3 linked regions of the Macaca mulatta genome follow. The protein of the gene in region 1 purifies or fractionates together with the protein of each later gene. This does not show direct contact. Links are inferred from orthologs where the notes say so. Each region holds a gene or a part of one and is shown in the gene's direction. Other genes may lie near its edges.

Region 1 (4,283 bases):
TGCTCTGGGTGGTCATTGTGAAAAGCCCGCACCAACCATGCCAATGGCAGCCAGACGAGGACACAGCCTGGTTCTGGGTCCCAGGAGGAAAGGCAATCCCAGAAAGACAGGGACAAGGACTGGAGTCCTGTGGGTGCCTTTTAAGCAAAGATTATCACCAGGCGGGCTAAACTTAGCAAACGGCTTTTAGCTAGAAGGGCAGGGGGCTGGTGTCAGGTTATGCTGGGCCAGCAAAGAGGCCCAGGATCCCCCTCCCATGCACCTGCTGATGGGCCAAGGCCACCCCACCCCACCCCCTTCCTTACAAGTGTTCAGCACGCTCCCATCCCACACTCACAAACCTGGCCCTCTGCCCTCCTACCAGAGAAATGGATACCCTGTGGGAAGGGGCAGGGGGCCTGTTCCCACCATGTGCCCAAGACCTCTTTTCCCACTTTTTCCCTCTTCTTGACTCACCCTGCCCTCAATATCCCCCAGCGAAGCCAGTGAAGGGGAGTCCCTGGCTCCTGGCTCGCCTGCACGTCCCAGGGCGGGGAGGCACTTCCGCCCTCACGTCCCGCTCTTCGCCCCGGGCTGGATGGAGTGAAAAGCACACTGTCTCTCACCCTAGGCAGCACAGCCCACGGGGCTCCAGGAGTGACTTTGTGGGAGGCCTCTGGGCCCCCACCAGCCATCCTGTCCTCCGCCTGGGGCCCCAGCCCGGGGAGAGCCGCTGGTGCACACAGGGCCTGGATTGTCTGCCCTAATCATCAGGTCCAAGCTACAGGGCTGCAGGACATCGTGACCTTCCGTGTAGAAACCTCCCCCTCAAGCCGCCTCCCGAGCCTCCTTCCTCTCCAGGCCCCCACTGCCCAGTGCCCAGGCCAGGCCTCGGTCCCAGAGAGGCCAGGAGCCAGGAGATGGGGAGGGGGAAGTGGGGGCTGGGAAGGGCCCACGGGCCCCTCCTAGCCCTTTGCTTCAGCTATTCCGGTGTCACTACCGCAGAGCCTCGAGGAGAAGTTCCCCAACTTTCCCGCCTCTCAGCCTTTGAAAGAAAGGGGAGGGGGCAGGCCGCGTGCAGCCGCGAGCCGTGCAGGGCTCGGGCTCCAATTCCCCATCTCAGTCGCTCCCAAAGTCCTGTTTCATCCGTGCGTGTAAGGGCCCCCGTCCTTGACTCCCTAGTCTCCTGCTGCCCACACTCCAGTCCTGGGAAGCAGCACCGATCACCTCCCATCGGGCCAGTCTCAGTCCCTTCCCCCCTCCGTCGGGGCCCACACGCTTGATGCGTGCCCAGTTGAACTAGGCGGCTGCGGAAAAAAAAAAAGAGCAGGGAGAAAGCAGGGCCCCGCTACTCGCGGTTTTACGGGCGCACGTAGCTCAGGCCTCAAGTCCTTGGACTGGGACTGGCTGAGCCCGGCGGGAGGCGGGGTCAGAGTCACCGCCTGCCGCCGCGCCCCCGGGTTTCTATAAATTGAGCCCGCAGCCTCCCCCTGCGCTCTCTGCTCCTCCTGTTCGAGAGTCAGCCGCATTTTCTCTTGCATCGCCAGGTGAAGACGGGCGGAGAGGAGCCCGGAGGCTAGGGACGGGCCTGAAGGCGGCAGGAGCGGGCGTGGGCCGGACGTGTTCGCGCCGCTGCGGGGTGGGCGCGGGCCAGGGTCCGGGTCCGGGCCCGGGCTGCCTCCGCATTGCAGGGGCGGGCGGAGGACGTGATGCGGCGCGGGCTGGGCATGGAGGCTGGTGGGGGGAGGGGAGGGGAGGGGAGGCGTGGGTGTCGACCGGGACCACTAGGCGCTCACTGTTCTCTCTCTCCGCGCAGCGCATCCCTGAGACACCATGGGGAAGGTGAAGGTCGGAGTCAACGGGTGAGTTCGTGGGTGGCTGGGGGGCCCTGGGCCGCCCGCAAACTGCGTCTACGAGCCTTGCGGGCTCCGGGTCTTTGCTGTCGTATGGGGTAGGGTAGCTGCGTCCGGCAAGGAGAGCTCAAGGTCAGCGCTCGGACCTGGCGGAGCCCCGCACCCAGGCTGTGGCGCCCTGTGCAGCTCCGCCCTTGCGGCGCCATCTGCCCGGGGCCTGCCTTCCCTAGTCCCCAGGAACAGGAGGTCCCTACTCCCGCCCGAGATTCCATCCGACCCGGACCCCTAGCTGGGGACGCTTTCTTTCCTTTCGCGCTCTGCGAGGTCACGTGTCGCAGAGGAGCCCCTCCCCCATGGCCTCCGGCACCGCAGGCCCCGGGATGCTAGTGCGCAGCGGGTGCATCCCAGTCCGGAGGCTGCGCCTGCGGTAGAGCGGCCGCCATGTTGCAACCGGGAAGGAAATGAATGGGCCGCCGTTAGGAAACCCTGCCGGTGACTAACCCTGCGCTCCTGCCTCGGTGGGTGGAGTCGCGTGTGGCGGGGAAGTCAGGTGGAGCGAGGCTTCCCGGCCCCTGCTCTCAAGTCGGCCCCTGAGCTGCAAGCCCTATTTCCCCTCCGGGTGATGCTTTTTCTAGATAATTCTCTGGTAAATCAAAGAAGTGGGTTTATGGAGGTCCTCCTGTGTCCCCTCCCTCCAGAGGTGTGGTGGCTGTGGCTTGGTGCCAAGCCGGGGGGAGCTGAGTCATCGGTAGTTGGAAAAGGACATTTCCACCGCAAAATGGCCCCTCTGGCGGTGGCCCCTTTCTGCAGCGGCGGCTCACCTTATGGCCCCCCTCTTCCCCTGCCAGCCTAGCGTTGACCCCACCCCAAAGGCCAGGCTGTAAATGTCACCCGGAGGATTGGGTGTCTGGGAGCCTCGGGAAACCTGCCCTTCTCCCCATTCCGTCTTCCAGAAACCAGATCTCCCACCGCACCCTGGTCTGAGGATAAATATAGCTGCTGACCTTTCTGTAACTGGGGGCCTGGGCTTGGGCCGTCTCCCATCCCTTCTCCCACACACATGCACACACCTGTGCTCCCACTCCTGAATTCTGGAAAAGAGCTAGGAAAGGACTAGAAGCTTGCAAATTAAAGCCCTGGGACTAGGGGGTTAAAAAACAACTTCCCCTCTTCCCCCGGCCCAATCTCTGTCCCTTTTGTAGGCGGGTCTTAGAGAAGGGGTGGGCTTGCCCTGTCCAATTAATTTCTGACCTTTATTCCTGCCCTTTGAGTTTGGTGATGCTGAGTGTACAAATCTTTTCTCCTTAAACGGTGCAGTTTGAGGCTGAGCTAGGCAGCAGCAAGCATTCCTGGGGTGGCATAGTGAGGTGCTGAATGCCACGTGCAAAGCTTGTGCCCAGACTGTGGGTGGCAGTGCCCCACATGGCCGCTTCTCCTGGAAGGGCTTCCTATGACGGGGGGTGTTAGGCAGCAGTGGAGCCTTCAGTTGCAGCCATGCCGTAAAGCCAGGCCAGCCTGGCAGGGGAGCTCAAGGGAGATACAATTCACCTCTTAATGGAGGTAAGGAGATGTTGGGGGTAAGGAGATGCTGCATTCGCCCTCTTAATGGAGAGGTGTCCTAGGGCAGCTCACATACTGTGGAGAAGCCTCCCCTCCTCATGCCTTCTTGCCTCTTGTCTCTTAGATTTGGTCGTATTGGGCGCCTGGTCACCAGGGCTGCTTTTAACTCTGGTAAAGTGGATATTGTTGCCATCAATGACCCCTTCATTGACCTCAACTACATGGTGAGTGCTGCCCCAAAGCTGATGTGGGAGGAGCCACCTGGCTGCCAGGCAGCCCCTTCACACCCTTGCGTATTCCCCCAGGTTTACATGTTCCAGTATGATTCCACCCATGGCAAGTTCCATGGCACCGTGAAGGCTGAGAACGGGAAGCTCGTCATCAATGGAAGCCCCATCACCATCTTCCAGGAGTGAGTGGAAGGCAGTGGGAGAAATGTGCTGTGGGGGGCAGCTAGGGTGGTGCGGCTCCCTTGGGTACATGGTAACCTCGTGTCCCTCAATATGTCCTATCCCTGTCTCCCCCACCCCATAGGCGAGATCCCTCCAAAATCAAGTGGGGCGATGCTGGCGCTGAGTACGTCGTGGAGTCCACTGGCGTCTTCACCACCACGGAGAAGGCTGGGGTGAGTGCAGGAGGGCCCGCGGTAGGGGAAGCTGGCTCAGCCCTGCAGAGGCAGAACCCGGGTTTATAACTGTCTACTTCTCTGCTGTAGGCTCATTTGCAGGGGGGAGCCAAAAGGGTCATCATCTCTGCCCCCTCTGCTGACGCCCCCATGTTCGTCATGGGTGTGAACCATGAGAAGTATGACAACAGCCTCAAGATCGTCAGGTGAGGAAGGCAGGGCCAGTGGAGAAGCGGCCAGCCTGGCACCCTGTGGACACGCTCCCC
Region 2 (4,215 bases), on another chromosome or scaffold:
GAAAATTAGCGAGAGTGGTGGTGTCAGCCTGTGGTCTTAGCTACTGGGGAGATTGAGGTGGGAGGATTGCTGGAGCCCAGAAGACCCAGGCTGCAGTGAGTGTAGATTGTGCCACTGCACTCAGACCTGGGCAACAGTGAGACCCCGTCTCAAGAAAAAAGAAAAAAAAAATAGTTCTGGCACGACTGTGTCTATTTTCAATTATATTTCTTTTCCTAATGTTGTTTTGTGTAGCCTGTATTGTAAAATGAGGTTGAGGTGATTGGACACACTGTTAATAGAGTGAGGAAGTGGGTAGAGTTAAAATTTCTTGCTGAAAGTGGGTAATCTGCAGTTCCTTGCATTGGGTTCACTCCTCACTGCCAGCTCTTGCTGCATTTGGAGGCTGCCCTAAGCATGATGTAATGACAGGTTAAACCTCTGCACGCACTAGCTGATGCAATGCAAATCTGAGGCCCAGGACTTTATTGGGGCAAGGGTAATGCTTGTTTAAAAACAAAACAAGCTACTCTGTGTTTAATGAGGCCATTTAAGATGGCTTTCCCAGAGTGGGAAGAGTATAATCTCTTAGGAGGTTTAAGTAGGAGTTTAATGTGGCAGAAGTGTGCTTACAACTTTTCCTGCGAAGTCTTTTCACAGCGGGGAAGGAGAGTTTAAAATATAGTGCCCATAGGAGTAGAAATGAAGTGAGCTAGAATTGAGTAAATATGGTAGTTGATGCCCGGTAAATAGCTGTTGAATGAATTAAGGAGAATGTTTTCACTCTAAAAATTAAGTTTGCACGATGAACCGGGAATGTAGCGCCGGTGTGGGCACGCATTTCCCAGATACGCCAGATACGCTGTAGCTCTTAGATCGAACCGTGAGAAACTGCCGATATTCGACTGTTGTGACCTACCGAAAACAGCATGGTTCTACCTAATTTTAAACTGGTGGAAATGCTGAGGAAGGCTCGATGTCGCTGGGGTGGGATGGGGTCAACAGCGGGGTGGCGGGGCCCCGCCCTGGGCTGCGGGGCGGGGCTTGCGGGCACAGCCCCACCCCTGCGCGAGCAAGACGGGCACCGCCCTGCGCGCTGCGCGCCCTGAGCTGGCCCTGGCGCCCCGGGTTGGAGTGGGCGTTCCCAACGCAGGCCCAGCCCCGGCCGAGGCTCCAAATGGCTCTCCAGCAGGCAGGCTTCTGCAGTAGCCCCTGAGCTGGCTCAGGGAGCGCACTTCCTTCGCAGTGAGCGCGTCGCCCCCTGCATCCCCGGCCTCCACCGGAGCTGGGGAGCTGGGCAGTAGCCTACGGAGTGAATCTGGAGAAGACAAACTTGGGAGACAGACGAAAGCTTAGGGCACACTGGAGGACAGCGCAGCTGTGGCTCCCATTTTTGGAGATGCAGCCGAATTTGAGCTCACAGGGAGGTGTGGTTGCCTCCTGGGGATGGGAAGGCTTCCTTTCTCCACCTCTGTAACTCGTGCTTCTGAGAAGTAAATGGATATTTGGATCCTGACCTCAGACGCGAATTTGGGTCTTCTGTGCTTAGGAGCAGAAAGTGCCCAGGAGGGGCCTGTTCCTTTACTTCTTGGGGGAAACGCAATGCGCGGCCTGACTTCTCATGACGGGAAAGGCTACTCCACCTTCTCTGTACTCCTGGAGGGGAGTCTTGTTCACATGTTTACCAGCGGCCAGGACAAGGAAGAGAAAAGGTATTGACATTAAGAGGATAGGTTGCTGAGGCTATGAAGCTTGAACGCTATTAGTCAGTGGAACCTGTCTGGCTTAGGGAATGGCTGCAGCAGAATCCAGCCGTTTCCGAGGTTCTCAGTCATGTTTCATTTGGGTTGCTGTGCTTTTTTATGTTTAAATCAAACTTCAGGTTACGTCATGACTTCTGCAGGGCTGTCCTTAGTTCCTACTGCAGGGCGGCTGTGTGGTTGGGATTCCTTTTCTGTTTCAAGATGGAGCTGGGTTCCACCCTTGGAGCTTTGAGAGGCTTTAGCAGTTGCTGTCCTGTAATACCTCCATTCACAAGAAATACCGTTCACATTTCAGTTCTTTTTCACACTTTGAATAGGAGTTAAAATGTGCTTTCTATAGTGTTTGGAAAATGGTAAAGATGTATTGTGAGCCTGAACTGTTGATGATAAATGTATAACTATTGCTAGGTCAAGAAATTGTGAACAACAGTGTTTTTCTCGGTCTCTAGCTATGTTGTGTTAAATATAAACTGAGTTTACTGCCCTTGGATGTGATTCCTTGGTTTGGTTTAGTAATCTGAAAGGCATTGGTTGACTAGACTGTTTTGTGCCCAAGGAACCACTTTGTAATTGTTATGCTGCTTACTGAAGTAAACTGGACCATGCAGTAGGCATACAGCATACAGCCAGGGTGTTTTGGCAATACTGAGCCCACTGTTTTACAAGTGACATAAAATGGATGTCATATGTACAAAGAATCTACTCAGAGGGAAACTGGATTACAGGAGAGCTCCTTTATAGTCCTTTGTCAGGGGACAGAACACCTGGGTCACACTGGGCTTCAGATGAGAGTTGATTCATGTTCTGAGTCCGTATGATGAGACACATTATGATGGAATTCTGTCACTTTTGTTGCCTCTTGAACTTTAAAATATCCTTTTAGTGATGTGGAATTAATCTTTATTTTTCCTTCACCCTAAGCCCTCATTTAAGCTATCAGTTGGTAACCACTTGGGTAATCTAGAAACCAAGTTGCATTTACTTGGTCACATTGGTAACCAACATTGTTTCTTAAAAGTTCCCTGCAACAGAATAATGACTATAATTGAATTAAAACATTAATTTTGAAGCTTTAATTTTGTAATATGGCTTAGTGGCCGGGCGCAGTGGCCAATGCCTGTAATCCCAGCACTTTGGGACGCCGAGGCCGGGGAATCACGAGGTCAGGAGTTTGAGACCAGCCATGGTGAAACCCCGTCTCTACTAAAAATACAAAAATTAGTCGGGCATGGTGGTAGGCACTTGTAATCCCAGCTGCTTTTGAGGCTGAGGCAGGAGAATTGCTTGAACCTGGGAGGCAGAGGTTGCAGTGAGCAGGCACCATTGTACTCCGGCCTGGGCAACAAGAGCAAAACTCCATCTCAAAAAAAAAAAAAAAAAAAAAAGAATATGGCTTAGTAGAGTTACTAGGAGTGCACTCTTAGGACATCGACTGATCTTTTTTTCCACCCCCAAGACAAATAGTGGCCTGCAATATCCCAGCCCAGGTAGCTTCCTGGGAAAAGTTGCTTGTTTTATGTTTGACTCAGCTTGACTAGTTACATTGTCGATTATTTCTTCCAGATGACATTTACTTGTTAAATAACGTTGATTACTCTGCTGATGAATGTTTCAGCAACGCTGGAGAACCCTAGGCTGCAAGGGGTTCTTCACCTGTTGACTTCATCCCCCACCCCCAGTATGGTATATTATCTCTGCCGTGCTATCATCTTTATTCTTTCCTTTTTCACTGTCTCTTCCTGACTCTCCTCCTTTGTTCATTATGTCTGATACATATTGTGGATTGAAAGTGGAACAGAAAGATGTACTTTCTCTACCAGACTAAAAAGTTTTGAGATGGCCCTCCATTTCTCCTATGTCTCCCTTCACCTTTGTTGTGTGTTTATTTTTATATTTTTGCTACCTTCACTAGCGAGTACATCCCCTCACTCTTGAGGTGAGCACTAATCAGTAAGAAATAAGATTAATACCTGGCTGATGATAATTTGGGGGGAAGACTTAATTAGGTAAAGATGGATAATGGGATGGCAGCAGACCTTTCCCCTTGTGACCCCTCCCCTCATTCCCAAAGTACACCTCTAGAGTAGATAATGGCTTACCATTAAGAAGAGTTAATGGAAGGTTCTCTGATTCTTTGGCATTGGAACTACACTTGTCCCGCGGTATCCTCGGAAGATTAGTTCTAGGACCCCCTTCCCCATACCAAAACCTGAGGATGCTCAAGTCCCTGATAGAAAATGGTGTCGTATATGTATGTGCATATTCTCCTGTATAATTTAAATTATCTCTGGATTACTTAATACAATGTAAATAATACGTAAATAGTTGTTATAGACTGTATTTTAAAAATTTTGTATTATTTGTAAATTTTTCTGAATATTTTCAATCCATGGCTGTGGTGAAGTCCTTGGATGCAGACCGTGTGAATACAGAGTGCCGATTTTATCCAGGACTTCACCTGTAACTCCCTATA
Region 3 (3,962 bases), on another chromosome or scaffold:
AGACTGATTTGAGTGATAATAAAACTCTGGTCTCCCGCACAACCGCTCTGCGTGAATTACTCTTTCGCCATTGCAATTTCCCTGTCTTGATAAATCAGCTCTGTCTAGGCAGCGGACAAAGTGAACCCATTGGGCGGTTACACTTTCGTTTTCAATACATCTCTGCTTTTATTGCTTAATTCTTTCCTTGCTTTGTGCATTTTGTCCAGTTCTTAGTTCAAGGCTCCAAGAATTTGGACACCCCCACAGGTAACAAGACTACAGGTGCCCGCCACCACGTCTAGCTAACTTTTTGTATTTTTAGTAGAGATGGGGTTTTGCTATGTTGCTCAGGCTGATCTCGATCCACCTGGCTCGAGCAATCCGCCAGCCTTGGCCTCCCAAAGTGCCGGGATTAAAGGCCTGGGCCAAGGCGGCTGGCCCACTAAACTTCTTTGTGCATCAGCTACTTCATTTGCCTAATGAGGATGAAAGTAGTCACTTCTGCGTTTTGTGAGCTTTGGTTAATACACGAAAAATGCCATATCTGTTTGCCATTAGCATCCATCATGCCATAACCAAAAAAATTACATTGCATTTTTATTTTTAAAAAGGTGGGGGCCAGAGTGGACCTGGGCCTTTTCCAACTTATGAGAGGTCTCTTATTAAGCAAGCCTTAAGTAGCAGAATTCCATGAAGGGAGCTGGGAAACCAAGATTTTCTAAAAGGAGGTGGCATTTGCATTAATCCTGGCAGGGCAGCTGCGAATTCCACGGGATTGGGGGTGGCGCCTTTTCCAAGGCAGTCCTGGGCTTACGCTGGGCTGCGGCTGCTCCGGGCGCGTTTCCGGGAAACGCAGCGGCGCCGACCTTGGGTCTCGCACATTCTTCACGTCCGTTCGTAGCGTCACCCGGATCTTCGCCGCCTCACTTGTGGGCCCCTTGGCGACGCTTCCCGCTCCGCCCCTAAGTCGGGAAGGTTCCTTGCGGTTCGCGGCGTGCCGGACGTGACAAACGGAAGCCGCACGTCTCACTAGTACCTTCGCAGACGGACAGCGCCAGGGAGCAATGGCAGCGCGCCGACCGCGATGGGCCGTGGCCAATAGCGGCTGCTCTGCACGGCGCGCCGGGAGCAGCTGCCGGGAAGGGGCGGTGCGGGAGGCGGGGTGTGGGGCGGCAGTGCAGCCCCTGTTCCTGCCCGCGTGGTGTTCGGCATTCTTCTCGTCTCTCGAGCGCACGTCTGCGGTAGGCTCCCTGGTTGTCCGAATCACCGACCTCTCTTCCCAGCTGTATTTCCAAAATGTCGCTTTCTAATAAGCTGACGCTGGACAAGCTGGATGTTAAAGGGAAGCGGGTCGTTATGAGGTAATTCTGCACGTTTGCCCGCGTGGCCTCTGTGCTCTGTCGCAAACCTCTTTGGCCTGAGCCGACTTGTTCTCTCGTCTGCTCTACGTCGCTTTTTGCTTTTGGCTGGGCCCCACGGGTCCTAGGCTTGGAGGGCGAGGCTGCTCACGGGTTTGGTGGTTTCTAGCCGCATTTTCTGCAGCCCAGAAAGCAGCCGAAACCCCCTTCGGGGATGGGTCCCACTAAGGAAGGGCTGAGATTGCTGCTGGGACCCATTTTGTCCTTTTTCCTATTGGTGAAATGCAGTTCCGTTGCCTCCACCTCCCAATCGGCGAGATGAGACTTAATGCTTATCCTGCAAATCTCTAGGCTTCAAGGAAGGACCTTGAAAGGTCATTTTGTTAATTTCCCTTCCCCCACACTCCTAGACCGTCGCAGACAAATGAGAAACGGCCCACATCTCACAGGTCCCTGCACAAAAAGATATCTTTCCAAGAGGATGTTGATTTAACTGTTCAGGAGTAGACCCCCCAGTCCCCCGCCCCTAAAGAATTGGGGTGGGAGGGTAGGGCGGGGCGCACCGGAGGAGGCCCTGCAGAGCTTATGTAATAGGCTTCTGCTGCCCTGCAGCGTGGTATCGTTGGACTCTTGGGCACAGGATTTGCATCAGGATTGTGACATACTAGGTAATGGTAGAGCAGGGTGTGGCTGCTCATACTTGCTGGCCTCCAACCTCATCCCCACGTGTGGCTAGAAAAGCAGAATTTTGAAAGTGGGGGAAGGTTCCTTGTGCACTTTGGGTGTCTTACTCTGCTCATGTTGATCTCTGGTCACTTGCCAACACGGCTTCTCTCTTATCTGCCAGAATTGTTGGTATAGTGTGGAGCTTTTACCTTTATCCTTTTTGTCACGTGTGGTATATTTGTGCATGCCAGGAGCAAGGTGCAGGAGGATGAGTCGGTATGTAACTGATGGACTTGACTGTTCATATACCTTAACAGGATCCAAGAGTGGTGTTTTTGAGGGGTCATAAAGGTTTCTGTTGATAGCATTTTGCAACCTTGACCTTTTTGGGAAGTGGTTGATTGATGGGTAGGCATGTGGCTGGTGTAATCTAGCCCCTTTTCCAATTTGGGCTGGTTCAAATGAGGGCTTGTGTTGGATATTAACAGACACATAAGTCAATAGGAGATCTCCCTTTAACTTTAAACATGCGAGGACACGTTTGAGTTAGGGAAGTGTATGGGTACTCTAAGAGTACATGTAGCTCTCCCCTTCTCTCTAATTTCACTTTGGTCAGTATTACTTTGCAGGTAACCTCTGCCCTGCTGTGGAGATAGAATAACCCAATAATTTATGTCCATGAAAAATACCTGATTTCCACATTTCCCCAAATGGCATAGGCCTTTGCAATCTGGACAAAGTAGGAATCACAGCCATGTTAGTACTAGAAGAGTGCCCTTTCTGGCCCTCATATAATCCTAATAAAAGGGGATAGACCCTGTAAAAAACAGGACAGGTGGACATTGGCATGCAACTAGCTTTTAGGTTTTAATTAGTTCCTTGCATCTCCCCTGTGTTCGAGGCTGATTCTTCCAGATGCATGGACCAACTAAAAGACAAGGAGTGGGACATCATGCGGATAACCTTCCTATAATTGCAGTCTTGGGCTTTATTTCCTCTCTCTGTAGGGAAACTGGCTTGAAGAAGCTAGCTGGGGGTGGGATTGTAGGAGCTGCTTAACTTTTCTCCTTCTGGACCTAATAAAGTTTCATTTAGCACACACCAACCCAAAGCCTTGAAATGATTGGCTAGTCATGTTTTGCCGATGGAAAATGACCTGTTCAGGGTTACTGAACTACTAAGGTGGTGGTGGCAGAGCTGGGAGTAGAATTTGGGTCTCCTTGGCTATCAGCTAGATCCTCTAGATCAGCTAGATATTCGAGACAATATCAGCTAGATATTCGAGACAATGACCAAGGATACGTTGAAATAGACCTTTCTCCTGTAATCTGGATACCTTCTTATTTAGGCTGAGGACAGGAAGTTACATCGTTCCCTGATTATTAATGTATTTCTTTTGAACAGAGAGTTTCATTGTAGGCCTACTTTTTTGGAGGTGCCTAGGCAGCCACGTGGTGTCAGCTCAATTCTTTTTTGTTTCAACGTGGTGGTTGCTGGCAGTGTTTCCGGAGTGGGGCTTCCTGAGTTGAGTAGTGGCTGCCTCATTTGTCGTCTTTGTCCTGCAGAAGTGAACTCTGGTATTTGCTGACTCTTCTGGTCCACTGGTTTGGATTGCCAAGGGAAATTGATTTGTTGAAGGAAAACAGGGTAGCCAGAAACCTCTGACTTGTTAATTACCAGGTTCCATCTTAGTTTTTTAGGACTCCCCAGTTGACTTTACACCCTCTTTGAATACACTTCTGCTTATTTTTGTGGTAATTTCCTTTCTTTCTCTCATAGGTTGCCAGTCATCCTTTGCTTGCACTTCCTTTTTGCTTGCTCCTGCCTGTTTTTTTTTAAACCTCACTGGTTTTCTCCAGCCTGTTGTAACTTGTAAAGAAACTGCTTTGATGTAGTAGGAAGAGAAACAGGAAAAAATTGAGAGCAGAGAAAAAGTCTTTAAGACACCCACAATAT

What was found.
Region 2: the proteins of GAPDH (region 1) and SIAH1 purify together in Homo sapiens (affinity purification with western blotting; 4 studies listed by BioGRID). This does not show direct contact. The link is inferred for Macaca mulatta from reciprocal best matches to the Homo sapiens genes GAPDH and SIAH1.
Region 3: the proteins of GAPDH (region 1) and PGK1 fractionate together in Homo sapiens (co-fractionation; 4 studies listed by BioGRID and IntAct, with this or other methods). This does not show direct contact. The link is inferred for Macaca mulatta from reciprocal best matches to the Homo sapiens genes GAPDH and PGK1.

The regions. Positions count from the first base shown.
Region 1 is NC_133416.1:7,484,318-7,488,600, forward strand, and holds the start of GAPDH (glyceraldehyde-3-phosphate dehydrogenase), read left to right. Parts: upstream 1-1,483; 5' UTR 1,484-1,526; exon of another isoform or gene 1,527-1,618; intron 1,619-1,795; 5' UTR 1,796-1,812; coding exon 1,813-1,841; intron 1,842-3,516; coding exon 3,517-3,616; exon of another isoform or gene 3,617-3,639; intron 3,640-3,697; coding exon 3,698-3,804; intron 3,805-3,926; coding exon 3,927-4,017; intron 4,018-4,107; coding exon 4,108-4,223; intron 4,224-4,283. UniProt on the Homo sapiens protein: Has both glyceraldehyde-3-phosphate dehydrogenase and nitrosylase activities, thereby playing a role in glycolysis and nuclear functions, respectively.
Region 2 is NC_133425.1:43,776,374-43,780,588, reverse strand, and holds the start of SIAH1 (E3 ubiquitin-protein ligase SIAH1), read left to right. Parts: upstream 1-1,415; 5' UTR 1,416-1,600; coding exon 1,601-1,691; intron 1,692-4,215. UniProt on the Homo sapiens protein: E3 ubiquitin-protein ligase that mediates ubiquitination and subsequent proteasomal degradation of target proteins.
Region 3 is NC_133426.1:84,348,999-84,352,960, forward strand, and holds the start of PGK1 (phosphoglycerate kinase 1), read left to right. Parts: upstream 1-1,162; 5' UTR 1,163-1,278; coding exon 1,279-1,343; exon of another isoform or gene 1,344-1,498; intron 1,499-3,962. UniProt on the Homo sapiens protein: Catalyzes one of the two ATP producing reactions in the glycolytic pathway via the reversible conversion of 1,3-diphosphoglycerate to 3-phosphoglycerate.